Linked DNA regions of Alligator mississippiensis. The protein of the gene in region 1 purifies or fractionates together with the protein of each later gene. This does not show direct contact. Links are inferred from orthologs where the notes say so. Each region holds a gene or a part of one and is shown in the gene's direction. Other genes may lie near its edges. The genes, in order: AP2S1, RALBP1, AAK1 and NECAP2.

Region 1 (7,749 bases):
GCGGTGCGAGGAGGGAGGAGGGAGGTTGTGTGTGCGCATGCGCGAGGGGGAAGGCGCGTGGAAAAGCGGTGAGCCGCGCGTGCGCAGAGATGTCTTCTTTCCCACGTGCGAGCCCCTGTCACCTGGGCCGCCTCTCCGCGCATGCGCCCTCCCCCCCTTAGTGAAGTGGGTGGGTGGGATTTCCAGAGGTCATGACCCTGCCCCCTCTTGTGACTGGTGTCCCCAGGGTGGCACTAGGCCGGGGGTGGGGCGAGACACCCTGGTCCCGGCCCACTGGGCCAGGGCTGGCCCCTTGAGCAGGCGCCTTTTGCATCCTCTCTTCTGTCCTGCCACAAAGCCCCTGCCGCGCTGCTCGGCGTGGTGTGTGGCTGGCGGGCGCTGGGGCAGCTGCCCCTTCCCACCCCATGATTCCTGCCCTGCCCGAGCTTTATAACCGCCTGCCTGGGAGCAGCAGGGGCGTTTCTATCCCGGCAGCGGCTCAGGGAATCGGCCGACTTCACCGCTCCTGATCATCCCCCTGATTCCTGCTGATCTCTTCGCTCCCTGGGTGTGAAGGACCCTCTCAGCTCCATAACCGTCTGGATCTTTCACCGGTCCAGCACTGCACGACCCTTTTGGCTGGGGGGTGCCTGCTCCGCCTGCGAGCCAGACGCGGCCAGCGGTCCCAGTCCGACGTGGCAGGCTGCGTCCAGCCACGTGGAGTGGGGCGGGGGCAGGCTGGCCCAAATCTGGCTGTGCAGAAAAAGCGGGGTGGGCCCAGCCCCGATCCAGCTGTGAGGAGGCGTGGCCCAGCCCTGATCCAGCTGCGGAGTGGGAGGTGGCATCCCGATCCAGCTGTGGGGAGGCATGGACCATCCCAATCCAGCCATGGCTCGGTCCCATGGGGGGAAGGGAGCACAGATGTGCAGGGTTTGGGAGTTTGGCAGCGGGGAGGGCGGCCGTATTAATTGCCATCACTCCCCCACCACCAAATTTCCTGACCGGTGGAGAGCCCGGCGGGCTGGACGTGACGGCTCCACAAGCCGCCTTTGGCCCACGAGCCAACGGCTGAGCGCTGCTGCCCTGGATCATCCCCTGAACTCAGGTGTGGTCACACGCCCTCAGGGGAACATTAGCTCAGGTATGGAAAGGACTGACAGCGAAGCACCAGAGGCACGCACAAGATGCTCCAGGCGGCAAGATTTTGCTTTACAAATCTGGCTGAGAGACGTGCATTTCATTATTATTTATGACTGCAGGACGAATGAGACAATAGCTCTGGCCCCCTTTTTTTTTTTTTTTTATTAGTTTGTTGTGTTTTTTAAGCTTAATATAGAAGCTAGCAAATGAGTCTGCACTTCAGTAAAGTGCTGTTTGTGTTTTGCTTTGCTCACACACTGAATAATACAGCGCTGGGCCCCCAGTGCATTAGTAAAGCTTCTAGTTTCTCTCTAAGTGGAGAAAGGCGTGTGTTGTGTTAGCTGTGATCACAGACAGCGAGGGCAGGAAGGGATCTCCGGAGGTCAGCTCTAGTCCAGCCCCTGCTCCGAGCAGGACCAGCCCCAACTACATCATCCCAGCCAAGGCTTTGTCCAGCCGGGTCTTAAACACCTCCAAGGATGGAGACTCCTCCACCTCCCTGGGGACCCTGTTCTTGTGCTTCACCACCCTCACAGTGAGAGAGTTTTTCCTAATATCCAACCTCAAATTGCCTTGCTGTAGCCTGAGCCCATTGCTCCTTGTCCTGTCATCTGGGCTGACACTATCTGCACCCCCCTTTTCAAAACCCTAGATCCACCCGTGTGCGCTGAGGACATGGGGTCCGGCGCCAGGCCCAGCAAAGCAGGTTACAATGGTATGTGTGTCGTGTCACACAGGATCGTAGGAAAGTCGGCCTCACAGAGAATCCGGCTGGGCAAGCCCGGCACTCCTAATGCAGGGCAGAAGGGGGAACCGACCAAAAACGTCTTTTCCCTTTAAACCCTCCATAGAAATCCTGGCGTGGTGGGGTAGGCAGAGGTCACGTCTAGTCTAAGGCCCTGCCCGAGGCAGGATCAGCCCCGTCTGAACCAGCCCAGACAAATCCACCACCAAACCTCTTTGGAAAACTACCGTCAACCTTGACACAGCATCAGACATCGCATCCGAACCTGCTCCAGGTGAGGCAGGGGGACCACGACACCCGATGTCCTGCTGCTGGAGGAGGCTGTTCAAATACACCAGAGAGATCCCAGGCTGAGGCCACGTCCCCACTGCGGAAGAAAGCAAAGCCCCCCCAGTCCGTACCAGTCTGACTATGGGAGAAAATTCCCAAATGCAGCATCAGTCTGACCCTGAGCAGCAAGGTGAGACCCTCTAGCCAGGACCCTCAGGCGTAGGTCCCTGCAGATACATTGGCACAGGCTAGTTGCCATCCCCAGCCTGGGCTGCAGCCAACACCCAGCGGCTCTGAGGAAGGCCTAAACCCCCCCGGCACATCGTGGAGGGGGGCAACCAGCGAAGCCCAGAAGCCCGGGACATCCCCATAGTGGAGCATGGGCATCGCTACGCCTAGATCACCCCAGCCAGTGGCTGCCCAGCCTCCCCTGGAGCCCCTCCAGGGGTGGAGAGTCCACAGCTTCCCTGGGCCTCACTGTAAGGGGGGCGTGACGGAGGGGTTGGTTTCCCTTCCAGCCCCATGCGGCAACCAGCAAAGCCCAGACGCCTGGGAGCTGCTTTTCACCCTTGGGAGGCAGGAAGGAAAAGGCACGGACCCGTGGTAGTGCTCTCCTGGCAGCTCGCCTCTCCAGCCAGGCACTGAAGTGGCCGGGTCCGCGGGTCGCCTAGAGGACAGGAGAGCTGCCGGGATTGCGATGGCCAAGAAACCCCAGCTGGAGTATGAGGCACGATGCCTGATGTGAGATTTAGTCTAACCTGGATGGGTATCTGCCACCGCCCGGTGCTGCCCAGCTGTCCACAGAGGGTCAAATGATGCAATACCTGTGTCGCCTGCACGGGCCAGGCTCAGAGGCACTCAGTTCCTATGGGTTTCATGCGAGTCAGACCCTGAAATACCTTTACAAAGCAGTATCAAAAAGCTTGGGAGAGGGAGATGCCTCTGGGGCGCACGCCAGAGCCCAGCACTTAGAGAAGAGGCAGCGCCCGAAAGCTGTAGATCGCCCATCGGGAGAGCAGGGCGCTTCATCCTCCAGCCCCGTTCCTCCGTGGTCTAGCATCCTGGCGAGGCGGTTTGAGCCTTCTGTAAACTCAGCCCCTGCTCGGTGGGAAATAATCACAGCTTCAGACGGCCGCCGGTGACTCAGGGAGGCTATTTCTGGTTCTCCTCGCAGGTCCCCACTGGAGACAGGCGTGGCTTTATCCCCATCTCACAGTGGGGAAGCTTGGCTCCGGGAGAGGAAATGACTTCCCCGATGACAAGCAGAGCTGGGAACTGGAGCTGTGGCCTGACCAAAGCATCCTTGAGAGGATAGTAACTTGCTGAAGACTCTTCCAGCCAGCAAAAGTCCCAGAGAAATCTGGAACCAAAGGAGACAGCATCCCCACGCCGGCTCGTCCAAGTCTTTGCTCCTCTGTGCGCGCAGGAGACGGCCCTGCTGGGCACCCGCCTGATGCAGGGGCGTGGGAAACAACAGAACAAGGGGGGGAAGCTGCTGAGCTGCAAGCGGGACCGACCGGACCGGCAGGCCGAGGACGATGCTTCGGGCAGGGCGTGGAAGGAGCAAGGTGCTGAAATCTGCTGCGCGAGACTCTGCTGCGTCAGAGATACCCCGACGGCTGGGACCCCGGGTCCACCTCTCCCGCTGTCCTGTGCCGCTCCCCGCGTGGCAGGGCGGGCTACCGCTCCACCCCACTGCCAGCATCGCCCCAGCCACTTGGCACTAGGCACTGCCTGGTCTTTGCTGAGACCAGAGAGCGGCCGAGCCCTCTGGGAAGCCCACGGGCACGAGAGGCCGGAGGGAGGCGTACGGAGGATGCCGTCGGCAGCCCAGCCTGGCTGCGGGCGGCTGGAAAGCCTCTGGGAACTGCGGTTTCACAAGCCCCAGCACGGGGCCCAGTCCTTCGCTCCTGCCGGCAATTCGTGCAGCACAAACAGCTCCACAGACAGTCGAGAGAGGACGTGTTGTCTGCACCGCGGCGCCGCTCAGCCGCGTGTCCTAGGACCCCTCCTGCCCTGGGCCCTGGGGGACTCCCCGCCGGCGCGGCGCGGCGCGGCGCAGGGGCTGGGCTGCTGGAGCGGAGCAGGAAGCCGGACGACGCGCAGCGCCCGGCCAGCCCCGGACACCGACGTTTCTGCCGCGGTGCTGGCCCTGCCGGGCTGCGCGAGGCCGCTCCGAGCCTGGCGTGGTGTCAGGTCCAGCCCGGCGTGGCGAAGCGGCTGCACGATGCATTTGTCGGGGTGGTTCGGATAGAGCCGGTCCTTCTCCCTCCGGCGGGGTTGGACTCGATGTAGGGTGGCCAGGCGTCGCGGGCGGTCCCGGATTTCGAAGTCGGTCTTGGTCTCTGGGGTGGGGGGCACCGGCCCCTGCGAGCCCCCAGGCAGGGCCGGGGGCCCAGGGCGGGTGCGGCCTGCGAGGCCTCCCAGAGCCGCGGCCTCGAGTAGGGCGCTCGCCCGGCGGCAGCCGCCCCAGTCCGGAGCGCGGCGCCTGGAGCTCGAGCGCCCCCTGGCGGCGGCGAGGCGGGGCTGGGTGGGGACTACAACTCCCGGCAAGCCCCGCGGCTTCGCATGGGAGGAGGGACCCCCGGAAGTGCGCGCCTCCTTTGGAACTACAACTCCCGGCGGGCCCCGCGGCGAGGGGGCACCCGCCGGATATCCGGTGGGGTGGGGAGTGGGGCAGGCAGTGGCCCAGAGCAGCTGTGCGGGGTCGGGCCGTCATGGTGAGTGGGGGCTCCGTGGGAGCTGGGGTCCCCTATAGGGATAGGGCGGGAAATGCCCCCTATAGAGACGGGTCCTTCTAGGGAAGGGGTGTCCCCTATAGGGAAGGTGGGGGTTCCCTATAGGGAAGGGGTGGGGGCAAGTGCCCCCTATAGGGGAGGGGTGTGGGGGGGGCCCAGCCAGCAGCCCCCAGTGGCAGCCCCTGGCCCGTGCGTGTCCGCGTGGGAGCCGGCCGTGTGGGGGGACGTCAAGGGGGGGTGTGCGGGTGTGCGGCTGGCTCTGGGGTGGGCCGTGGAAGGGCGGCCCCCGCGGGGCTGCGGCGCCGGTTGTGGGCCCTTGGCCTCGGCGGAGTCCCCCAGGGGTGCAGGCCCCCTGCCCCGCGTGGGCGCGGGGACGCTGCAGCGCGTGGCCTGGACGTGCCGCGGGTGCCGGGGACGGGGTCTCTTCCCTCTCCTGGGCTGCGCCCGTGCTCCGTGGGCGCTCGACCCCGCGGGGTCCATCCTGGAGGGCCTCGCCGCTGTGCTCGGGCTCCGACGGATGCCGCGTTTGGGGCGAGGCAGGGATTTCGCCCCGCGCAGAGCGGCGCGGACAGGGCGGCGCTGCCCGCCCCTGCAGCAGGGGCACGGCCTCCGCTGCCATCTCTTGATAACAGCCTTTGACGGCGCTGCCAGCCGCGGCCCCCCCGCTTTCCCGGGGGAGGTTCGGGGGCGATGCGAGGGCTGACGGTCGTGTTGCTCGGAGGTTCGACGCTGGGTTTGCCTGGGCTGGTTGGGACGGGGCTGACCCTGCCTTGGGCAGGACGTGACCCCTGGAGCTCCCTTCCAGCCCTTCTGCAGGGTTACCGGGCTGCCCCGAGGAGCGGGAGAGCACGTGGCATAGAGCCGGCGACGGTCCATCTCCCGACACGGGTTCACCGGACCCCCGGTGCCCGGGCTCCTGCAGCTGGGAGGTGCCCGGTGTGATGCCCGCCAGCGCTCGCACCGTGGAGGCTTTTTCCTAATGGGACCTTCGGGTGCACGGGGCAAAGTATCTGGAGGTTGAGGTGTTGGGGGTCCCACCGCTGGTTCCTAGTGGGGGTGGCAAACACAGCTCTGGGCTGGGTTGTGGTCAGGATTTCCTCTGAGGAAGCCCTTTCCCCCCGCTCAGCAGAACGGAGCTCGTGGCCTTTCCTGCTGAGCGCGCACTGGCGGGGAGGCAGCTCCTTCCAGGAAGCCTCCTCTCTGCCCCCGCCGACCCCGCCAGGAGTGCGGCGGTGCGGGGCCCGACAGCTCCAGGGGACGGCGAGCCCCGTGGCTGGGGGACGGGACCTCCACGAGATCTGGGCTCCTGGTGGGAGAGGAGAGATCGCGGGTGTCGGGCTTGTGGCAGGGCAGAGCCCCGGCGTTCCTGCCTGCAAAGGGCTCTGTCCCAAGCCATCCTGAGCTGCCCTGGTGCCTCTGCTGTGGGGCGTTCCCCTGCAGCGCGGCTCTTCCTTCCCCTATCGCTCTGCGAGCAGCTGGGTGGAAGGAGAGGCCTGGTTGGCTTTGCTCTGCCGGCGGGGAGGTGGGGTCGGTGGGTGAGGGGAAGGAGCCAGACCCCCTGCAGCAAAGGGGGCAGCTGAGAGGGGGCAACCCGCCCTGCCCACTGCATTGGGCTCCCCTGAGGGTCTGCACCCCTCGAGCCGTGCTGTTGTCCGTGACCCAGGCGATGGAGCCTGACCTCATCCGCTCTCCACGCAGATTCGCTTCATCTTGATCCAGAACCGGGCCGGCAAGACGCGCCTGGCCAAGTGGTACATGCAGTTCGACGACGACGAGAAGCAGAAGCTCATCGAGGAGGTTCACGCCGTGGTGACCGTGCGGGATGCCAAGCACACCAACTTCGTGGAGGTACCGCTCTGCCGGCGTGTCACGGCCCCCGACACTTGGGGAGGGGGTGGGCGGGACGTGAAGGTGTCGGCTCCTTGCCAGATCCACCTTGATGTGGGTGGATCAACCCGTCCAAGGAATCCTGGCCCAGCCCCGCCGTGCGGCTGACAGCAGCTTGCTCTTGCACCGCGGGCATGAGCTTCCAAAGTCTCCCATCGTAGCGGGAGGAGCCAGAGGCAGGGGGAGGGAACGTCGGCTGGCACCGAGAGCGGCTACCTGGGACTGGGAGCTCCTGGGTTCTGCTGCTGTCTTGCTGCGTGCAGCTGGGGTGAGGGTTTTCCCTGACAGGAAGGCAACTGAGAGGACCTGGGGGCGCAGGGGTCTCCTCCAGGCCGTCTGCTCCCCTGGTGGAGCCTCCACCGTCGTCCTCTCCCCTCAGTTCCGGAACTTCAAGATCATCTACCGGCGCTACGCGGGGCTGTACTTCTGCATCTGCGTGGACGTGAACGACAACAACCTGGCGTACCTGGAAGCCATCCACAACTTCGTGGAGGTGAGCGCTGGTAGGAGGTGGCTGGGCCTGGTCTTGGGGGCACGGCTCTCGGACGGTTCCTCAGGGAGATGGAGCCTTCCTCGGTGATTGACCGGCTGTCCACATCTCCCTCTGTGCGTGCCTGGGCCAGCCAGCAGCTCCTGTCCCTCGCCGCGAGGCTCCTCCGGGTCTGTGGGTTACAGGGAGCAGAGCAAAGCCCCACCTAGCACTCGCTGGGCTCTGAGCAACCGCTGATGGCTTTGCTGGCTGCAAAAGACCCGTTTCCTGCCCTGCGTCCCATGCGGTGGGGCTGGGGGGTGAAGCTCCAAGGAGGGCAACGAACCATCATGACCGGTGCCCTGGGTTGCTTCAAATCTCATCGTCTCTGGGCACCTCATGGTAGAAGCTGTGCCCGAGCCCTGCCGTCGGATCTCGGCTGGATGCAGCAGGGGGGCAAGCAGGGTCCCCTGGGCTGAGTTGAACAGGAGGGCACGCCGGTCTCGTGGCACCAGGTGGCA
Region 2 (6,968 bases), on another chromosome or scaffold:
AATTTGTTTGCTCTGAAATGTTCTTAGCAATGAAAATCTCATAATATGGTACTATTATGCATTTTGTGAAGGCCATCTGAGAGTGGGAAGATCATAATTTATTTGGGGGACATTTACTTTACTAGGCCCTTGATTTAAGCATGAGATTAAGTGCCTTGCTAAAATTCTAAACTTAACTATATGCTTGAACACTTTGCTGAATTAGGGCCTTACCTAGTTGAAGCACCTGGGTAATATATATTATTAAATACTCACTATAATATTGTAAGTAATTTTAAAAACTTAATAAACATGCCTTAGTGTAATAAGCAATTATATAAATTCCAAATTTTTCAATCAGGATTGTGCTTAGCTAGATGTCATTTATGTGACATTTTAAATACAGAAATATATAAAACATTTTTTTTCAATGGGATTATGGTACTAACATCTATAGAAATGATTCAGATACATAAACCCTGGTTTACCACTCGCTGTCAACACTGCCACTTACAAATAGTGCCCCTCAAGTCTCGGGAGGCACCAGCTGTTCATGCCCCTGGGTGTTCCCCACCTTTCTCACTTGGTATACAAGAATTTGCTCCTGGATGACCAAGTAAAAGTGTGACTAAGGGAGATCCTTAGTGCTTATGGAAAATTGCATCCAGAAGGTTTCTAGTATTGATTAGGGTTACCATATTTCCAGTTCCAAAAAAGAGGACACTTGCCATGTGCATGGGGGGCATATATGACTGTTAAGTGCAGTGATATGTCAGTGCCCTCACCCTGCACATTCCATTGCCCCTCACTCCCAAGCCAAAGCCCCTCCAGCTCTACTGCAGCCCATCACTCCTGACCCAGGGACCCCTGGCCCTGCCAGTGCTCCTCACTCCCAACCCACAGTATCCTGTCTCCCTGGGCCATACTAGTGCCCCTCACTCCTGACCCACAACTCCCTGCCCCACATTCGGGACCCACAGTCTCCCCACCTCTCACTTCTAACCACAGCCGTTTGCTCCCTCCATCTCCTGGCTGCCCTGCCCCTGCAACCTTTTTCCCCTACAGTGGACTGCTGCCAACAATCCATCCCCCTTGACAAGTTGCAGTCCCACACCCAAGAGTGACCAGATGCTGCTGTAAGAGGGAGAGAAAAAGGCAGGTGCTAGGACCCTAGGGTTCTTTCTCTGCTGTGGCAAAGAAGCTAAACTGAATTTGGTAGGTGCTAGGATCCTGCAGACATCTCCTCTGCCCCAGTTCTCAGCTGCAGCCCCAGCTTCTCCCAGCCTCTGCATGCACCCACCCCACCTCACACAGCTGAGCTGAGCAATATCCCAGACATTTGAGCAGATTTTTAAAAACTGCCTAGAAAGAGATCGGAGGATAAAAAAAAAGGACATGTCTGGGAAAACTGAGACCTATGGTAACCCTAGTATCCATAGATGGCATAAATTATTATGCCAAATGTACATGTGGTAGAAGCCTGTTACCAGACCTGATCAAACAGAGTTGTGTTGATCATGAAATGAGCTGTTCTGGCAGTTATGAATACTAGGAATCTTTCACTAACCACAAACAAAAGAAAAACCTGTCATGTGTCTTTTCTGCAGGAAGGCTACAATCTGGCAGGAGATGGCATGAAGAGGGATGCTATTAATTAATATATCAGTGCTTTTTTTCCCCTATTTCTTCCTTGCATGCTTTCCAAAACTCCTCCCCATTCTTTATTGCACAGATTGAATTTCAGAGAAGAGGACCTGCCATTTCAAATACTTTAGCATGGCTCTTGTTTAAAATAGCCAGCAAGAATTTGCCAACAGTAAATGTAATGAGGCATGTGGAGTGAAACTATCTGAGGTAATGAGGACCAAGACAAGAGAGAACTTTTCTAAAGGAACAAATCTCCCAGTGAACACACACAAATCAACTGTAAGCTAGAGATGCTCTTTGTGCTTTTCACCCATTTGCCCTCCTCAGCGATTAGGGAAATCATCGTTTTGCATCATGCAGCTTATGAACCTTTATAGGCTCACAGTGACAATAGCCCATAGGAATCCTTACTCCTTGGAGGTGAAGTGGCTCTTGTGAATGTGCCTTAGAGCAGGGATCCACAGAAGCAAAAAACTACAGTGAGTAATAACCTTTCTTTCCTCCTATGGCCTGCTGTGTTAGTCTTTGTATGGTAAAAACATTTGCTTGTGATGTTAAGTAAAATAAAACAATGAGTACTTGACATTAAGATAGCCTCCATGGGATAAAAAGGGATTTATGGGAGTTGCATAGTTACATAATACATTGTAAAGACAACATATCTATGCTCAAAAGCAATCAAGAGTATTTACAACCCTCTCTTTTATATTTCCTACAGAATAGACATACACACAAATTCCTGCAGGGGACCTTTTACATTACCACAGAAGGTTGCACAAAGAGCCCATTTGTAAGGACTGAGGAGCACTGAATGTCAAGTGAATAAATGAAGCAGGTGGCAAGCTGCCATTGTATTCATGTGTCCAAAATGCCAGGATTATGCCTGGAGGCTGGGGAAATGAATCAGTCCACTTTTCACTGGAACAAATTCCCTTGTTTACCAGGAGCTCTGAAAGAGATTCAAGATCTGCAGGTGTCTAACATATTCGGAAACTTGCAGTCGAATGAAGGCAGAATACAAGAAATTATTTAAAGGCCAGAGAAAGAAAGTAGGCATTGAGATGGAAGATGCATTTCCAGGCATAGAACGTGTACTCGCGCAACAGCCGGACCCTTTCTCTGTTCTCTGGCATTCGATGCGAAAGCAAAGAAAAATATGCAAGACCAACTTCTTTGTCAAAGAGGAAGCCAAAATTGATTGCTGCTTTCTAGTCCTATTAAATTGCTTAGGGACACAAAGCTCTATAGTCAGGTTAGACCAGGAGCAAAGGAACAGTTCCAATCCTTGCAGCTGCCGGAGGAGTTGTGCTTTTGTGTCCCTTAAAAGCTGGTTGAATTTTCTCTAGTTGCAACATTTAAGGGCCTTCCAGCATGATAATTTTAACTCCATTCCGACAAGATCAGCAAACTCTGCTCTTCTTTTCAAACATATCTGCTCAAAAGAACAGACTTGTGGCTGTACTGGTGGGTTCAGCACTGCTTTACTGCACCAGGGGACCAACCTGCTTTGACAGACGTACCACAAATTAGCTCCAATCCCCTGCCCACTCTGCCACTTTTCTGTCCCCTCCCTGCCCTGTTTCCAGCTCTGCGTCCTGCCCTGTCTGCTGTTTTGGTTCCCAGTCCCTGCCTGATCTGCTGCTCTAGTTTCTACTTCCTGCCCCTGCTCAATCTGCTGCTCTATTCCCCCACCCTGTCCTGTATTCCTTTATCTGCTGCTCTCATTTCTGCTGCCTGCCTACTTCGCTGCTGTGCTCCCTACCCGATCTGGGGCTCTGCTTCTTGCTTCCTGCCGTGTGCACTGTGCCCTCACGTACTTTTCTTTCTGGTCTGCTGCTCTCTTTTCCACTCCCTACCTGATCTGGTGCTCCCGCATCTGCTTCCTACTGCCTGCCCGATATTGCTGCTCTGTTTTCTGCTCCCCACCTCCCCCCCCTCCATTTCTCCCACAGCAGCACGCATCTCTCCCTGGCCACTGAACTAGCCCCGCCCCTCAGTGGAGCCTGCCGCGCGGCCCGCTGGGACCTGTAGTCAGGCTCGCCCCCCACCCGGGCATCTGCCTCTACAGAACTACAATTCTCGGCATGTACCGGGAGGGCGCTGGCTGGAGGAAGGTGGAACTTCCCCTGCGCATCCTTACCCAGGCGAACGCTCAGGCTCCGCTGCCGGCGCCCTGTCAATGCGCATGCGTATTCGCCCTGTGCTCGCAAAGGCGCACACTAGCCGGAGGCTGCATCTCCTTGTGCGCATGCGTAGTCTCCCCTCCTGGCCTCAGCTGCTTCCCTCACGGGGGGGGGGGGGCGGCGCGCCTGCGTACATGCGTCAGCAGGCTCGCGCTGCTCCCGGCCTGTCTTTGCAGCCGCGGGCGGCGGCACCATGGGGCGCGCGTGAGGCCGAGCGGGGTCGAGCCCCCGGGTCAGTACCGAGCTCGCGCGTGTCGCGGGGGGCGCGTCCCCTCCCAACGGGGGGTGGGCAAGGGCCCGGGACAGCCACTTCCGGGCTGGAATGGGGCGGTTAACGGACGTTTTCCTGCCCCCCCTCCTCGTTTGTGTGTGTGTGTGTGTGTGTGTGTGTCCGCGTCCGCGTGTCCGTCCGTCCGTCCACGTCCACAGGAGGCGCTGTCGCGAGGAGGCTGGTGGCATGGGCTGGTGCAGCATCTCGCCAGGCTGGGACCTACCGTGACCCCCTCGCCGCATGGCGGCCCTGGACCCACCCCACGAGGCAGGGCATCGGGTGGCGGTGGCAGCATAAATGACTCCCAGGGTGGCCCTGTTTCTAGGCTGGTGGGAGCCCTATGGGCCAAGTGACATGGCCCTGCACCACGGCCTGCAGAAACACCCGTCCTGGAATAAGGGGACCTTGTGTACAGCAGTGAGGCCGTGTCCTGCCAGCTGTGTCGGTGCGGCCAAGGCGGTGCAGCGTACCAGTGCCGACAAGCCATGTCAAATGTGTGCACCTTGCATGGTGCACAGGTTTCAGTGGGGGACTCCAGCAGGGTCAGAGGGACATTGTGACTGTGATGGTCTGGCAAATGGATGACAAGTAAGAAGTTTTTGGCAGTGTCTGTTATTGGTAGTCGAAGAGCGATGGAATAGCTATGATGGCCCAGAAATGATGGGAGAGGCAAGGATTTCTTAGGGCGGTCTCTTACTGGACCAAGTCTGTAGCTGGGATAAAGTCAGGCAAACTCCCGAATGTAAGACCTGAGGATGCGAGATCTGAGGAAAAGTGTCTTGCATTTAAAAGCTTGTCTGATTATAGCCCAACTACGTGGTTGGTCCAATAAAAGAGATCACCCTACAAAATCTTTGTCTTTTACTGAGCCTACCATATAGCTGGGAGAGAAGCAAGACCAAAATGGTGCCTTCCTTCCAGGCTCTCCCTTGTGCCCTGTGCTGCCCTGGCCCCACTCCCTCCCTTGCCATAGGGGCCTCAGTCTGTTCCCCTCTACACCCCTTTCCCCCCATAGACTTACCAGCCAGACTCTGCTCTCCGGGCTGCCAGGCTACATTCCTAGCCGCGTGAATGCTGCGGCTGCATGCATGCATGTGGCATTGATCGGTGGCATTATTAGCTACACCTGCCAAAAAAAACCAATTGTTGATAATATCAATTTTCTTTTATAGGTGCCAATTTGATATGGACTGATATATCAGTTCACCTCTAAAGAAAAAAAGAAGTGCATTTTTTAACATTTAAATGTAAAGTATATTTTTCTTTGTAGATACCACTTGAAATTGGCATATTACATAATATAATTAAAATTATATTGAACCTGTACATTTGCTAATTTGGTATAATTAAAGACAAAACTGGTTGAAATGCCTGGCTAAATAACTGGAACTACAAGTTTTTGAAGTAATAAACCAGCTCTTGAGAGTTGTAGCCACCTCTGCAGGTGTAAAAAGAATATGTTCTTAATTTCAGTTTTAGTTCAATAATGTGTTTGCTCAAATTTGAGAAGCCACTAGAGCAATGATTCTCAGCTGTTTTTAGACCCAAGACAGTAGACTTGAGGTACCTTTCAGAAAATGCCAGATTTTATATTTCAATTATTTTTTTAAAATACAAAAAATAATAGCACAATTCTTCTGTTACAGAGTACTCAGAAAAGCCACAACAGGCAGAATGTTTTTGACCGTATTGATTCCTATTTGAAATCTCTGAGTATATCTTGTGAATTGTGTGTCTGTGTTTGCAAACCTAACAGAGCTGATATTGCACGACACACTTAAAAGGATTTTGGGGCACCCTGGCATGCTGCGGCACCCTGGTTGAGAACCGCTGTGCTTGAGCTCTGAAAAAGCTGGGAGACTGGTTTTCCTCCTCTAATCTGTGAATAACAACTGTGAGAGAGAGGTTGAAGTCTACCAGTTCTAAAATACTGAAGTATGCAGTGACTGAAACAGTTGGTTCAGCTCAGTAACTACAGAATCTTTCCTGTGCTTATTAAAATGTTACCTTGAAATGCAGAATATATTCTGATGTGTTACAGGGGTGTAGGTTGTAGCCATGTTGGTCTAAGGACATAGGCAGACAAGGCTTTTTGGGTGAATCTGATATCTTTTATTAGACCAACTTAAATAGTTGGAAAACAATTATTAAGCAAGCTTTCGGGTTCAAAAACCCTTCGTCAGGCTAAGGAAGTTTCTGCAGTTGGTGTGCGCTCTTCCTGGATGGCATGAAAAGTAAAGAAGCCAGAGGCTGGGCTGGCTTCTTTACTTTTCATGCCATCCAGGAAGAGCGCACACCAACTGCAGAAACTTCCTTAGCCTGACGAAGGGTTTTTGAACCCGAAAGCTTGCTTAATAATTATTTTCCAACTATTTAAGTTGGTCTAATAAAAGATATCAGATTCACCCGAAGAACCTTTGTCTGAATATATTCTGATAAACTTTTTCTTGTGTATCCAGAATATTTAATATATTATTTTTAATTATTAAAAATAGATTACAATTAATTAGATTAGATTTAAAATGCTGAATTTTAGCAATTTCAGTTTTTGTCCCAAAGCAATTTGATGTAAACCACAAGTAAAAAATTCATCATCTAGTAAATAAATAATGCAATTCACCGTTTTATAACACAATAAAATATAACAAGTATCTGAGTACATGTATATAGTTGCTTAAATGTGTAAATATCCTGGTTAGCAAAAAGAAGAATCAAATTTAGTATAAAAGCTATTTTTAGTTGTATACCTGCATGTTTTAATGGTTACCAACCAATGAAAATCAACTTAGGAAAACAATTAGAAGTTCAACAGTTATAACAATTAAAAGTGTTAATGCAAAACAAGATTAACATTGATGATGTAAACTGAGTCTTCCTGCTTGCTGATT
Region 3 (7,006 bases), on another chromosome or scaffold:
CCTTGTTTACCACAGTGATGGCTGATGTCAGTGGAAAATGTGAAATTCCTCACTTTCCCCAGAAATCCCTGGCTCTCGGAATCTCTTGGCCCGAGGTGTATTCTCGAAGTCTACTACCTGCCTAGGGAATTTTCCAAGCAATTAGAAAAGCAACTCTATGGAGACTGGCTTTCCCCAGTTACCACATCAATGCCAAGTTCAGATGAATCTATAATATTCACCCAGCGTGGCTGATCATGCCTTCTCAAGGTTAAAGTAGAACAAGGTTTGAACTTGGATGAAATCCATGTTTTTAAAAAATAGTTCTGTTTACACTTCTCTTAATGGAATAGTTTAAATGACTGGTGTAGCAATCACATGGGGCCCCATTTTTATGTAGCTAATACTACTGTGAAACAGGAGCAGCTCCAATGAAGTTATAACACTGCAAATACGCAAATGAGAGGAGAATGAGGCCCTTGATATCCACAGGTCAAACTGTCACCCTGAGCAGAGGTATTCTTCTGATTACTTTGATGACTGGGTTGTGTTATCAGATGCAATGCAGTACAAAGGTGGCAGAATTTGGCTTTTGCCTCCATGTGTTTAACTATACTGGAGAGGTGGAGAGGCTCAGTATATAAACCAGAGTGGAACCTAGGGAACTGCTTCTAGTCCTGCTACTTTGATATCCCCTTCCTCTACCTGCGTCTTGATTTCCCCATCTGTGTCATGATACTGACCTTGGGGAAGCCCTTGGAGATCTATGCATGAAATGTGCTAAATATTATTGTTCTTTGTTTCTCTGATTAATCACAAATCCACTTTAGCAATTATAAATCAATAGCTTTCAAGTTTAGGAACAGCAGCCAAGCACGCGTACAAAATGCCGCTAATACTTTTTTTTAGGCAGCATTTGAAAACTGTGCCCAAAAGCCAGTCCATTCAAATAAGGCAGCGATGCAAGAGAAAGCAAAATGACTGTGCCAAAGGCATAAATGGCTTCATCATTCTTGCCCACATGCTGCTTGCAAACATATCTGATATAGTGTTTTGTTTATACACCTGTATTTTCAGTAAATCCCTCTTGTTTAAAACAAAAGCTGGAGCCAAAAATATATATCATTTGGAAATGCTCCCAATTACATGAGAAATTTTCCATCAAATCAGCCAGATAAAAGTGTGGTAAAGGCAAGCGGTCGCCTGTACTCTGGATTATTTTTCTTGATTATCTGTATTGCAACAGCTTCCAAGGGCTCACATCAGGGTCACAGTCTAATTGTGCTGGGTGTTATACCTACGTATCCTTCACTCTGTCTGCTGTGTGGTTGTTACAGTTATCAGCTAAACTTCTGTGCCTGCAGAGACTTACGCGTGTGCTTAACTATACAAAGCCACCACAGTGGGGCTATCGGTATAATTCACAATGGATCCAATTCAGCTTCTGTCTAAAAAAAGAGACTCCCACTGATTTCAGTGGGATCTGGTTCAGATCCAACATGTATTGTGAAGATGTGCTTTTGCCTTTTTCAGTGGAAACCTGTTCCATCAACAATTCTCCAGATAAACTCGGTGCCCAAAACCTAAGGCACCCAAAATCACTGGTGCTTTTGGCCTTAGAGATCTATTTTAAAGAAAGGTGGAGAAAGCAAAAATTCAGCCCGTGGTGATGAAAGGGATTTAGTCACATAGCACTGAAGTCAGTGTCAGCTGCTCAGACTACTCAGGACTGCAGAGCAAGATTGGGCCTTGGGAACGAAGGGGCTATGGATTATCTATATTGTACTAGCATCTGGAGAAGCCCACCCAGATGAGACCCCCGTTGTGCAAGCTGCTATATAATCACTTAATAAGGGACAGGCCCTGCCACAAGGAGCTTCCAATTTTCTGCAAAAGAAGGCTGAGAGGTGATCTTGTGGCTGTCTGCAAACTCATCAGGGAGGGACAGCAGGAAACAGGGGATACAATGTTTAACAGGGTGCCCATCAGGGTAACTAGAAACAATGGCCACAAAGTGAAGGAGAGCAAATTTAGATTGGACATCAGGAAAAAGTTATTTACTGTGAGGGTTGCTAACATATGGAATACGCTTCCAAGGGAGGTGGTGCTGTTCCCTTCCTTGGAGGTATTTAAGAGGAGATTGGACAAACACCTGGCTGGGGTCATCTGAACCCAGCACTCTTTCCTGCCCAGGGCAGGGGGTTGGATTCGATGCTCTAATAGATCTCATTCAACCCTAAAATCTATGAATCTATATAGCTGAAATGAAGAAAGGCTATGGAGACAGAAGGAAATGGAGTGACTCTAAATCGCGCAGGATGTGGGAAAACACAAGTGGGTTAGCAGCAGGCACGCTTTCCCTTTCTACTGTGGGCTCCTCAGGAACACCCATGTTCCCTCTGACCCTTCTTCTGCAACGCAAAGCTACACCTCTGGGCCCTATAGGAATAAGGCATGGAAGAGTCTTGTTTGCAGGAGCAAAGTGTGAATTCTGTTGCTGTGTTATTTTTTAATTAACTCTGGCTGTGTGTGTGTGCCATCTGATGGTGGCACCATGCACTAGACCTGTACAAACTCACAGCAAAACAATACAGTCTGGATCCCAAATTGTTTTCAGGTATAAAGGGCTGGATCCAAAACCTCTTGAAGTCAGTCTTTCCACTGATTTCAATCCGCTTTGGCTCTCAAACACTGCAATAAGCTCTGCCAGGGCCTGCTTTGGTATTGGCAGCTTGCAGGACTGTATCCATTTCTCTAAATGCCCAGCTGCAGGAATAATATGATCGCAGGAGAATCTCAGGCTGTGGAAGCTCTTTACCCCAAATTAATAAGGAGGAGACACACAGACGGCTCCAAGAAAGCTAACTGCCCACCATAAGCTCTGTCACAGCATCTGGTGGCAAAGGGCTACTACCCCTGGATAAAATAGCCGAGGGATGCAGACATATGACAGTTTCTCTGCAGTAAGTCACCTCTGCGGGAAGTTGCTATAGTGGTTTTTGCAGCCTCATTTACCCCAGAAGGGAGAGATCTTGTGCCTGTCTGAATCTGACGGTGTATACGCCACTTGTGGTATTTTTTTAATCTTTTGTCTGCTCCTGTGGAAGCTGGTAGCTTTTATTATTATTTCTGAGTGACAGCTTGGGGAACAAGCTCGGGATCCCGCAGCACTGAGCGTTTTGTGATGGGTCCCGGAAAAGGTGTCGGAGAGCTGTTGTAAAATAGTCCCATTCCTCCAGGTTCATTCCTGTTTGCCTTGAGGCTGCTTGCTTTAACCGGGGAAGGATGTGGACTCTATCAGCACCTGCAAAGCCGAGACTCGGGATGGGAACCAGGAGCTTTTCCCAGACAGGCTGTGTGCTTGCTGCTTCCCTGGTCCCAGCCATCCTTCAGCTGGCAGCAGGAAAACTACAGCTCCCAGGTGCCTTTGCTGCCAGCTGGAGAGGGGAGGGAGGGGCACACCTTCAAAAGCTTTTATTGCTGAAATCCTTCTGCCCACAGCGCAGCTCCAGCCAGCTCAGGCACTCACTCCACTGGGCACTGAATAATGTCAGCAGCAAAGCACCCCCCCACCTAGTGATGGACCCCAGGGTCTTCTCCTGGTGCTTTGTGGGAAGCAGAGTCCAGCTGCCTACAGGGCTGGGCTCCCTTCTCTGGAGGACTACCATTCCCATAATGCCCCACAGCTGAGCCTGGGTGTTGCAATTTAAGAACACTCTTTCTTTGCAGTGCCTTGAACTCCTGCTGCTGCTTCCCCCCTTGCATCTGAGCCCCCTTCCCTCTTCTTCCCCCCCACTCCTTCCAACCCAAGCTTTTGCTTTTCTGATTTCTTCCTCCCCTCCCCACTCTGCCAGATCAGGATGAGAGAAGAGGAGAGTGCTGCAGAGGAAGGGGTTAACCCTAAAACCTTTGCGGAAGGGAGGGGAAGTCACTCAGTCCCCAACTCCACCCACCCTCCTTGAAGTAGGGACTTCCTGTGACAGTTCATTTCCTGGTTGGATGGAGCTGGGAAGAGGAGGGAGGGCTGGGGGGGGGGCACCTGGAGTAGGATCAGTCTGTAATGGTCTCTGGCTATCAACTGCTGGCCGCCTTCCTTCTGCGCTTCCCTGAGCTGCAATGGTCTCTTACAGCCATGGCCCATCCAGTTCCAGCAGAGAGGATGCAGCAATGGTAACACTGTGGCCAAGTTGCTAGCTGGGTGGCTCCAGCCTATTTGGTAGCAAAGGACTGGGGCAGTCCTGCGGCTCCCTGTGCTGGGGGGTTTACATGGAAAGATTCGCTGCTCAGGGCAGAGGTACATCATCCTTCTCGCAGCAACAGCTTTTCGGGGATCTGGGCAAGGGGTTTGAAGGGGCTTGTGCATGCAGGAAGGCTGCCTCTGGGCGCCAAGGGGGCTATTTTGTTTTGACAGCATGGCTGATTATTTTGGGAGTGTTTGTAATGTTTTATTCCCCCGCCCTTTTTTTTTTTTTTTTTTTATATATAATGATTACAGGTGTAAACCTTAGCAGCTCTGCCTTCCAGAAGGAAAAAGCATCTCTCCTGCTTTAGAAAAAAACAGAACGTTCAACAAAACAGGGGGGAGGGGAAGAAACCCCAACCCCACTGGAAGTAATTTATTCTTTCTTATTGGCTGGGATCAAGAAGGGGGGAGAGGAGAATTGGACCTCCCCAAACAGCGTCACTGTCATCATCACACTGGTATCTCTTGAGAGATGAAGAAGTTCTTTGATTCACGTCGGGAGCAGGGAGGCTCTGGCCCAGGTTCGGGAACCAGTGGAGGAAGTGGAAGCAGCACCGGCCCAGGGAGTGGGTACGTTGGCCGGGTGTTCAATATTGGGAGGCACCAGGTGACGGTGGACGAAGTGCTGGCGGAAGGTAAGATCACACTGGCTTGTGCAGAGCCCTTATTTTTCCTCTGCAGAGGTATCTTGTATAATGTAAACAGAGGCTTTGGCCCTCTCTTCAGGCGTGTTGTTTTCCCCCCCCCTTCCTCTCCTCCTCCGTTTTCCCCAAGATTTCATTGTCATTGAGGGGTTTGCAGTCCGATGACAGCTACAGCTGATACCCCTGCTGTTTGTCAGAGATGCAAGTCAATCCTATTATTGCAGATTTTATTTGTTTTTGAAATGCAAGCAGGAGAAATAAAACCAACAGAAGTTGGGATTTTTTCCTCCCAGCTGGAAACTTGGAATGCTTTAAAAGCAAACAAACCAGCAAAATAATCCTGGCATAGTCTAGTGGGAGACGGTGTGTCTTGAGAGAGAAGCCCATTGCTTTCATTGTGGAAGTTTCTTCCATCAGCTTGCATCTTTCCTACCTTTGCTAGAGCTGGGGAACCACTGATAAATTCTCTGTATGTTTTTAGTGTAGGGTCTATACACAGGACTTAACAGAGCAAACAGCTGTTTGTGGTAGTGGGTTGTGGCTGGATGAAAAGATGCCAAGCAAAACTGTAATCCAGGTTATATTTACTGTTTGTGAAGTGCTTTTAAAAAAACTTAAAAGAAATAAAGAATAACAAAGGTTATACAACCCTAAGAGCTCTCTAACCTGCAAGTGAAGTGCTTGCAATGCAACTAACTGCTTGTAATTATTATTTAAAAGACTTGTATCTGGAGCATTGCTGCTTTAAATATAATTTTACTTTTCATATGCATGGACTATAATGGGATCTTCTGCAAAGTCTCTCATTAGTAACCTTGCTCTCGACCTTCAGAATAATGTTGGCCTCCTTAAACTGGCCCATAGTCCATTTTGTGCACAGCATCCTTGGTGTTTTCAGTCCAGGCAGTGTGTTGTTTAGGTTTTAATTGAATGGGCTTCTGCAAACAGACTGCCTGGAAGAGGGCTAAAGAGAAGAAAGCTGGGGTCTCGGAGCCTGGGGGTAGGTGGCTACCTTAGCCTTGACATAAATTTGAGCCCTGATAGGGACAATACGAATGGTTCAGACCTTTTTTGATTGAGCTATCTTAAGACAGATTTGTCAATGTCTTTTTATAGTCATGGTTAATCAGGAAGTGCCGGGCTGGGCTGGGGCTGCCTGAAATGCTGGTCATGGTGAGTGGTGCATGCTAACTGTAGGATGGAGAGGAAGCCAGAATTGATCACCCTAAACAACCCTGGCCTAGGAAGTCTAGTGATCTCTCCAGCTTTGTGGGGCACTGATTGCAAGAATATGGCACAAATCTGCCTTGATTTATTTTTCCAAGGCCCTACTTGCCCCTGGAGTCCAGCAATGAGGTTTGCTTCAACTCTGTAGCTGCTACTGTTCTGCTCCCTGCTCTCTGGCCTCATTCTTGTAACACCAGGATGAACAGACTTCTTTGCTGATGGGTAATCTCTTGCTGGCAGATCCTGCCTAGGATGCTGACAGCAGCGGGAAGTGAGCTGCCATGCTATTGGGTGCTGTCCTGCTCAGCTCTCCTCTGTCGTGTTTGACTGCATTTCTGCTCAGGCCTGGGCCATAGCACATGTTGGGGTGAGAGATGAGTTGGGATGGGAGGAGGAGGGATTACTCTCCTGTTGTGTTGTCCTGGTGTTCTCCCTGTGCCTCAGCAAGAATAGCATCTTCCGGGAACTCCTCTGTGCATGAGTGCTGTCCAGTAGTGAGAGCAATCATGGGGATTAAAGACTACTGGGGAGGGGTACAATGTGGCTTGGTGCTAGGGATAGGGCTGCCACTCAGGATTTGATTCCTGCAGGCCTGTTAAATGGATCAAATCCAACCTGGAGTAGACTGTCAGGGCATGAGAAGCTCTAAGAACCCTGTCTTGGTGGGAGCTGCCGCACAGAGGTCACTGCTACGACGGGTCAGGCTGAGGGCATTGCCCTCTAATTGGAGGTCCTTACTGACCCCCTAATAGGGCACAAGATGGGTGGCTTTTAGCATAGGTCTGTGGGTTCAGTCCTGTTGATACTAGAGAATGGAGAAGCTCTTTCCTTCATGAACATCTTGGGGGCGCTTGTAAGGCAACCTTGCCGCCTTCCCATCTGTTGGGATTGTATTCAGCATGCCACTGCCCCT
Region 4 (7,730 bases), on another chromosome or scaffold:
TCTGCTGGCTTGAGGAAGGAACATCCTTTCGTATCTGGGGGGAAGGGAGCGTAGACGGATCCCACGGAGACCTCCTGCGGCCTCCGAGAAAGCAGGGTGAAGGAATAGGGCTCTGTTGCATCCAGGTTTACAAGCTAGGAATAGACTAGTTCAGTACTGTACTGGCCCATGGCAAATGTGGCAACGAGCTATGCTCTGTAAAGCCTGTGCTTGTCGAATGGCTGCCATACAGTAGGAGGCAGGACAGCCACCAGGTACAAACCTTGAAGCAGTGTGGCTTGTGAAGGACTGATGGCTCTAATCTTTCAGTGATGGTACAATTCAGTGCTGTACCTGATGCATTTACTTCTAGGAATCATAGACACCGGGAACAAACCCTGTTCAATAAACTTTGGAAAAACTCCCTGTTTTCATGCATTGCTGGTGGTAACAAGTGGCTTTTTGCTAGGCTTCAGGCAACTGCTCACTTTTTTTGCTTCTCTAAACCCTGGAAAGAGAAAGGGGTCTGAGGTAGGGTTTCATCTGGCAGTCTGAAAACCTTCCTGGATTCCAGCCATGGAAGAGAAATTTAAGGTACCACCAAATTTATTGTTGCAGTACATTGTCAAATACAATTGCTCCACGGTCTCTCCTGTGTCCTACACTGTCTGGTTTTGTTTTGTTGCATTGCCTAACTCTTATGGTAGATGAGAAAACTGACCTACCCTTCATGGTAATTGTCTTGAGGGATTAGATGAACACTAAGATGTCTTTCTGATGGGACAAAGAGAAGGCATCTTGTATGTTGGAAAGACTCCAGTCCTAGAGGGGATTCACCGTGTTGCTAGGGTCTCTTCCTACAGGCAGAAAAACTGACTGCACCTTTTTGACCTCTGTCTGCCACCACAGAAGGTTTAAACCATTCCTTCAGCCAAAATTGCCCATGGGCTTGTCTGCTTCAAGCTGTGTTCCCACAAATTGCCTTTCTCCGCTTCTGGTGTTTGGAGGATGTATTCTGTACTGGCAAAATATGGTCCACCCTCTCTGTGCTCTGTAGGTTGAACGGTGGACATTTGAACCCAGCCTCTTCTACCTGAAAGGAAGCAGCTGTACAAAACCTCTACCTAGAGCGAGGTGTGTGGGAGATTCCCAGCCAGTAAACTGACACACGTACAGAGATACTGCAAACAAATTACCAGAAAAAAAAAATCCTATCTATGTGCAAAACATAATCTGCTAGAATACAGATCTGTTCACTGACTTGATCTTCTGTCCCATCGCCCTGTGTGATTCCCTGAATCAGGTGAGCCCTCAATGGTTGTTGTAAAGATTTCTTTTTTTTCTTTTACTCTGCTGTAATTTGAGAGGTGGCCATGTGTACCGATGTCCCCTTCGGCCTGGAGTCATTTCTCAAAGGCTGTAATCTGATGTTTACGGAACTTCCTCTCAGGTAGGGCTTGGCACGTGCCCCGGGGCACCTGTACAAGCCAGAAGCAGCTGCATCGCAGGAAACGTTATCTTTCCTTCACAGTGGTGGCAAGGAGAAACCCATGGGGATGGCTGGAGAGAGGAGGATGGGCGGGGGTGGGGGGGAGGGGGGGGACAAGACAGCAATAACTAGTCACCACGCCTTTCCTTAACTCTCAGTTAAAATAGCTATTACTTCAGATGGCCAGCTGCCGCAAAAGCCTCTTGACGTAGCTTCAGCTATCTTGCCAATGTTAGGACAACGGTATCCTCTTCTCCTGCCTGCTGTCCTGTGCAGCAGAGCCTAAAATTTCTTGCTAGTTGCACATAGGACAGAGCCGGCACCTCCAGCATCAGCCTCGCGTAAATTCACATTAGTTACACGAGGGGAGGTCATCGCAGCACCCGTCTCCAGCTTCTCCATCCCTATAGCACGATCAGTCAGGATGCTTCCAGCCTGCAGGCAGGATGGGGCAGCATCCCTGTAGACACCCGCCACCGGGCCCCTCCTAGATGGACAGTAGGTGAGCGATCCTGTCCGGAAATCAGTGTTGGGATAAGTCAAATGCCTTGTCTGCAGAGGGGCTAGAGCTTTTGTTCTAATACACGTTTATAGGGGTTTTTTGTGTGTGTTCTTAGGGGCACTTTACGGTTCTCTCGTGTGTGCCTGTGTGCGTATGTGTGCGTTCAGGTGGTGAGAAGTGCAAAGCTGTGTGCATCCGACACACAGGATCTAGCTAGAGCCGCCCGTCTCCCCATGGAAGTGCTCCTAAGTATGCAGAAAAACATTTTATAAATTGTATTTTAAATAAATGTGTTTAAACTTTTAAAAAAAAAAGTGCAGTTTGTATTGAACTCCTTCATGCGCATTGCTCTTCGCATCCCACCCAGGCTTTGCGTGCAGATCTGGACAGCAACATCCCAGCTTGTTATATTTGATAAAAAGCTTACAAAGACTGCACCGTGAAAGTGGAGGGCTGGGGGAGGGAACTCCGAGTGGCTTCTTACTGCAGCGAATCGAGTGAAATTACTTGATTTCTGCATCCTCTCTTTCACATGTTTATCTCGGGCTTGTCCATGAACATGGGGGACCTTTCTGATTTTTTTTTTATTCTTCCCCATTTGTGTGACGACCACAGATAAATTGAAAGGAGCGATCTAACACACTGCGTACCGAGAGCAAGCTGCTCATGCTGCAGGCTCTTTTTTTTTTTTGAAAAGTCCTAAGCCTTAAATTCTGCATCTACATGGTTTATGTGGACTGGGAACAGTGGGAAGAACTAACGGGTTGGAGCTGCCCTGAGATTGCATTGGTGTTCATGAATAGAAGGCAAAGTGCTTCATGCGTTCTCCTAGCCACCTGCTCACCAGCCCTCTATCTTGATACCGTCTTCATGAGAGCAGCTGTACGCGTTGCTCACAGGATCCTGAAGCCTTCTGGTCCCTTTGGCAAGCAGAGCCTTTGCGATGCAGACAAAGTGCTGAGGGTAGAAAATAGCTTTTATGCTGCAAAAGACTCGTTTCCCTTTTTAAGTTAAGCCTTGACCAAAGTTGGGCACTTGGGCAAGTTGCTCACCTGGGGCAGTGCAAGTTTGTGAGCAAGGTTTTGAAGCGCTAAACAAAGCACTGGGGGCTATGCTAAATGTCCTTGCAGTTGTGGGAAATAGGATGAGACAGCTCAAGGTGTCTCCCAGCTTCTCCCTCTGCCCCTGTATTACTGGAGTCTGACCAGCTGGGGGGGGTAGAAGCCATCCAGTTCCTATCAGTGTTGGTATCCAGTCGCACCAGTGAAGGTGGAGGCTGCTGCGTCATTTTGTTTTGAAATGGATGCAAGAAAGCTAAAATGAATGGGACTTATAATAGTCCAAGGCACCTTTTTGGTTCTCTTTGGCGCTAATTCCCCTTTATAAACCCAGCTCAAGGTGAAGGTGCAAGTGTGTACCCTCATGGCTGGGAATACCTGTGTGCTTGTGTGTCTGTGTGAGATTTAGATTTGGTTTACACAAATCTCTTCAGTGCTGGTGAACCGGCTCTGTAGGAGGGGACAGTCCCCAAGTCAGCTACCCCCTACAAGCAGCTGAAAAGGAGAATTGAACTCCGCCATGTGAAGCGTCCTGTTTTCACGCTGTAACGCTGCCTGGGGGGTGTGATGCTGGCCGTTGGGAGCATGGTCCAAGTCTCCCCAGCAGGTTCTCTCTGCCATTTTAAGAACACAGCTTCTTCCAGGTACTACCTGCTTCGGATCCACACGGCCCTCAAATTGCTTGCCATCCTGTGGGCAGATCTCCTCTCCGCTCCTGAAGACCACGCCACGGACTGGACAGCTGGTTGTGCCCGTTCTACAAATTGGCACCTGTGGAAACGAGGCAAACGACACCCAGCACGAGGAGGAGATGGAGCAGGACCGCAGAGGGCTGCATCTGACGGACGGTTTCAAGCAATCGTCCACGGACCTCCGGTTACACAAACTCAGTCCCGGCAACTCCCGTCCTCTCTCCGCTCAGCTGCTCCACTTCAAAATCGTGGGGCGAGAGCTCGAGCAGCCCTCAGGCGCTGCGCAGGGCCAGCCGCGCGCCGCGCGCTCCACCCCCACGCGGGCCCAGAGGAGGATCGGGTCTGCTGATGACCGGCAAGTCCACCACGCGTGACAGCAAGGTTTCCTTTTCTGCTCGGGACGCGTTTCCCGTATTTGCTCTGGGGTTGACTTGCACTTCAGTTTGCAGCTTGGGTTGGAAACGTGCGCGCTGCCAAAAACGTCTTGACGCCCTCGCTGGAGTCATCTGATCCCAGCGGTCTTTCCTGCCCCGGTGCAGGGGGGCCGGTCAGGTCCTGTCCAGCCCCTAAAGACGATGAAACGACTGTCCGTGCTAGGGGTGCATTCAAGGGAAAGAACCAGTCATTTAAAAATACTGGTTTTAGGGAAGTTTCAGGCTTGTAATAGAGGCTTGCAATTGTTATCCCCCTAGCTCGTTGCTGGTTGTGCTCATGCTGAAGCATCTGCCCTACCACCAGTTTGGAACGACAAGACATTTATCTGCTGCTCTGCTTGCTGCTCCCTGCCCTGCTTTGCTACTGCGCCTTGTGCCCTCGCCCATCGACTGCTCTGCTGTCTGCTCTCCGTCCTTCCCTCGCCCATCGGCTGCTCTGCATTCCGCTCCCAGCAGCCTTCGCGCCCGGGGCTCGGCGGCCGGGCCGCGGTCCTCCAAGAGAGAGGGGAGGGGTGGAATCCATAGAGCCCAAAGGCACGCCCCCCGCTCCTCCCCATTGGCTGGCCGCCCCAGCCACAGAGACGACGCGGAAGCGCCCGCCCAACCTCCGCGGGGCCGCTCTAGCCGGGTGGCGGGCGGACTTCCGGGTGCGACGGCGACAGCAACAGCAATGGCGGACGGCGACTACGAGTCGGTGCTGTGCGTGAAGCCCGAGGTGCACGTGTACCGCGTGCCGCCGCGCGCCTCCAACCGCGGACACCGGTGCGCCCCGAGGGGGGCGGGGTTACAATGCGGGGAGCAGTGAGGGGGGGTAACTAAAAGCGCTTCTCTTGTCACGTCTGTACGATACCTGTACTTGGCAATGGAGCCCTGGCCTCTGCTTCACGCCTTCCATGGCCGCAGTAGCCGAGTTGATACTCGCATCGTGGGTCCCAGCCGTAGGGACCCCGAGCAATGCCGTGACACGAGGAGTCATCGCCGAGAGGCTCAGCCGGGGACTCGCGAGGTGTTGTTCAGACGCTAATAGCAGTTTCTACCCGCAGGGCTGCAGAATGGCAGCTGGACCAGCCGGCGTGGAGCGGCCGGCTGCGCATCACGTCCAAGGGGAAGATGGCGTTCATCAAACTCGAGGATAAGACTACAGGTAAAGGGAAAAGAGCAGCATTTGTGTGCGTGTGTGCGACCCCCCCCCCCCTCGCCCCCGCTCGAAAGGGGCTGCCGTACGCAGCAGGCTCGCGGGTCCTTGTGAGAGCAGCCCTGGATGCTTCCCAGAGCTACCCCATGAATTCGGGTCGCTTCAAAATAAGTATGCAAATATTCACAATATATTGATGTGAAAATGCCTCAAGGCAGCGTCTTCCCCTTCGAGGAGGTTTGCTGAGGTTTCCCACATGACTTGGTTCTGGATGGATCCGCTCCTCGGTGCTTGGTGGTGCCGGGTGCCCCAGCGGTGCAAGGAGTGGGAGGGAACTCGACTTGAGCAGCGGGTTTAAAGCCCCCTTTTTCCCCCTTCTGTGGCAGAATAACCTCAACTAGATGCCAATTTTGTTAGCTCTTCAAGGTGTTTAAGAGGCTGAGCAGGAAGAAGCCTTACAAACTCTGTGCTAGGGAGTCTGTCCTTAATGAAATCAGGGGGGGAAACCTGGTTAGCCCCCACAACTAGTATCTCCTGCCCTATCCCCATAGTTCTTGTTGGAAGCACTTCCTGTGTGTTTCAGTTCCTCGATGCAGCCAGGATGGTTCAAAGATGGAACCTTTTTCTGAAGGTTGGTTCGAGCGCTTCCGTTCTCCCTGTGCTGCCGCTGCGCTCGGTCTGGGTGGAGAGAGCTGCCTGTGGCCCCTGTCACGCGTTTTCCCTGCCCTGGGCCCTGCTCAGAAGGGGATCAGTCCTTGAAGAGATACGCAGAGTATACACTGCCTGTAGCGACTCCCTCTGCGATTATCCCCCTGCTGCCGGGACTTCCTGATCATAGTCCTGGGGCTGGTCTGGTTCCAAGTCATGTAAATGAGCTTGCTCTCAATCCCAGCTGTATAAGGAGAGCCTTATGTTGAGAACTGAGAATTGGGTTAATGGATTTCAGCCTCCGAAGGACATGTAGAGTAGTGGTTGGACTGGTTTCTCAGTCTGGGTTTCTGTCTGGGTTTTATCCTCTGCTGTAGGCTTCCTGGAAGACACTGGGTAAGTAGGTTAACTCCTTTGTTGGTATGCACAGCTTGTAAATACCTAATACTTTGTGGGTGTATCACTGTGTTTAATTCCCTAGCATGCGTAAGCCGCCGTCCCTGTGCGTGCTGTGCTCTGGGACATGGCGCTGTTGTGTTGGCTCCTTTTCTTTGGCATTAAGATTCCTTGCCCTTCACACACAGTTCTGCTTGTAGGGGAGCTCTTTGCCCAGGCCCCCGTGGACCAGTTTCCTGGCATCGCTGTGGAGAGCGTGACGGATTCCAGCCGATATTTTGTCGTTCGGATTGAAGATGGAAATGGTAGGGGAGGTTTTAAGCTCTCTTCTTTTCTAGCACCATACTAAGTAAGGCAAGCACGTTTCTTGATGAATACGTTTTGAAGTTTGTCTTGGAGGTTTCCATTGGCCTGGTCCGGATTAGTCTTCCAGCTATGAAGGATTCCTCATTTCAAAGGGCTAAATAAATGTTGCATCTTAGAGGCAGAGTAAAAACCTAGGGGAGTGGAGTGAGGTGCCTTTCGTTCCTTGGGACACCAGACTAGATCCATCCAAAATCAGCACTCGGTGCCTGTATTTCAGCAACCTGTGTGGATTGAATTGAAACCAAAGATCAAAAGTTACAGGATTTTCACCACTTGGCATGTAGGCTTATTTAACTGATCTTAAGTTGAACTCGACTGATCTAACATGTTTCTGTGCCAGTGTATTTGTTGACCCAAGCTGAACTGATAAGCAGTGTTGAATGCAGCCTGAGAGCATCTGCACATACAGTTGCCCCAGGGTGACTCAGTCAGTTTTATATGAACTGGTGTAACTTGGTGCCCAGACCAGGCCTGAGTTCAACTCCTAGTGGGAAATGAAACCGTTACAGAGAGCACTGTAAAGTGACAGGCTCAGCAGAGAGGAAGGGAGGGCTGCAGCGGGTAGGGGTGGAGATATCAAGGAGCAGTACAAGGAAACGGATGATGCTGGGTTAGTCTTGTGCATAAATCTCACAACTTCAGCACCTTCCAGCAGCATCATATCCTTTTTAACAGTTTCTAGCTTCATTTCACACAAGCTTCTAGAGCTGGAAATTCCCGTTCCACACGCTCCTAATAACCTGAGTGAACACCAGTTGTACAGGGTGGAAAACCAGCAACTAAATAATTCAAGACCGCTAGTTCTAGATTTCAAGTGTAAAGGCCAAGAAGGAGAGTTTACCTCTTAGTGTGTGTGTGTCTGAATCTCTTCCTTTTGCTCTAATGTGAGCAATTTGTCCAAAGATCAAATGGAAAAATTAACTTTCCTCTAGTGTAACCGTTCTCAGTCTTGTTGGGACCGCTTTAACCAATTCAGAAGACACAGTCCCCCAGTATAGCATTTAGTGTCAAAGTATAATTCCCTGACAGCT

The links.
Region 2: the proteins of AP2S1 (region 1) and RALBP1 purify together in Homo sapiens (co-immunoprecipitation; 3 studies listed by BioGRID and IntAct, counting the BioPlex papers as one, with this or other methods). This does not show direct contact. The link is inferred for Alligator mississippiensis from reciprocal best matches to the Homo sapiens genes AP2S1 and RALBP1.
Region 3: the proteins of AP2S1 (region 1) and AAK1 purify together in Homo sapiens (affinity purification with mass spectrometry; 4 studies listed by BioGRID and IntAct, counting the BioPlex papers as one, with this or other methods). This does not show direct contact. The link is inferred for Alligator mississippiensis from reciprocal best matches to the Homo sapiens genes AP2S1 and AAK1.
Region 4: the proteins of AP2S1 (region 1) and NECAP2 purify together in Homo sapiens (affinity purification with mass spectrometry; 3 studies listed by BioGRID and IntAct, counting the BioPlex papers as one, with this or other methods). This does not show direct contact. The link is inferred for Alligator mississippiensis from reciprocal best matches to the Homo sapiens genes AP2S1 and NECAP2.

What each region holds. Positions count from the first base shown.
Region 1 is NC_081838.1:647,961-655,709, reverse strand, and holds the start of AP2S1 (AP-2 complex subunit sigma), read left to right. Parts: upstream 1-4,749; 5' UTR 4,750-4,851; coding exon 4,852-4,854; intron 4,855-6,570; coding exon 6,571-6,720; intron 6,721-7,138; coding exon 7,139-7,252; intron 7,253-7,749. UniProt on the Homo sapiens protein: Component of the adaptor protein complex 2 (AP-2). Adaptor protein complexes function in protein transport via transport vesicles in different membrane traffic pathways.
Region 2 is NC_081826.1:95,143,292-95,150,259, forward strand, and holds the start of RALBP1 (ralA-binding protein 1), read left to right. Parts: upstream 1-3,952; 5' UTR 3,953-4,041; intron 4,042-6,968. UniProt on the Homo sapiens protein: Multifunctional protein that functions as a downstream effector of RALA and RALB. As a GTPase-activating protein/GAP can inactivate CDC42 and RAC1 by stimulating their GTPase activity.
Region 3 is NC_081830.1:12,976,194-12,983,199, reverse strand, and holds the start of AAK1 (AP2-associated protein kinase 1), read left to right. Parts: upstream 1-3,989; 5' UTR 3,990-4,149; exon of another isoform or gene 4,150-4,273; intron 4,274-4,474; 5' UTR 4,475-4,694; coding exon 4,695-4,857; intron 4,858-7,006.
Region 4 is NC_081836.1:3,410,164-3,417,893, forward strand, and holds the start of NECAP2 (adaptin ear-binding coat-associated protein 2), read left to right. Parts: upstream 1-4,729; 5' UTR 4,730-4,824; coding exon 4,825-4,916; intron 4,917-5,197; coding exon 5,198-5,298; intron 5,299-6,533; coding exon 6,534-6,638; intron 6,639-7,730. UniProt on the Homo sapiens protein: Involved in endocytosis.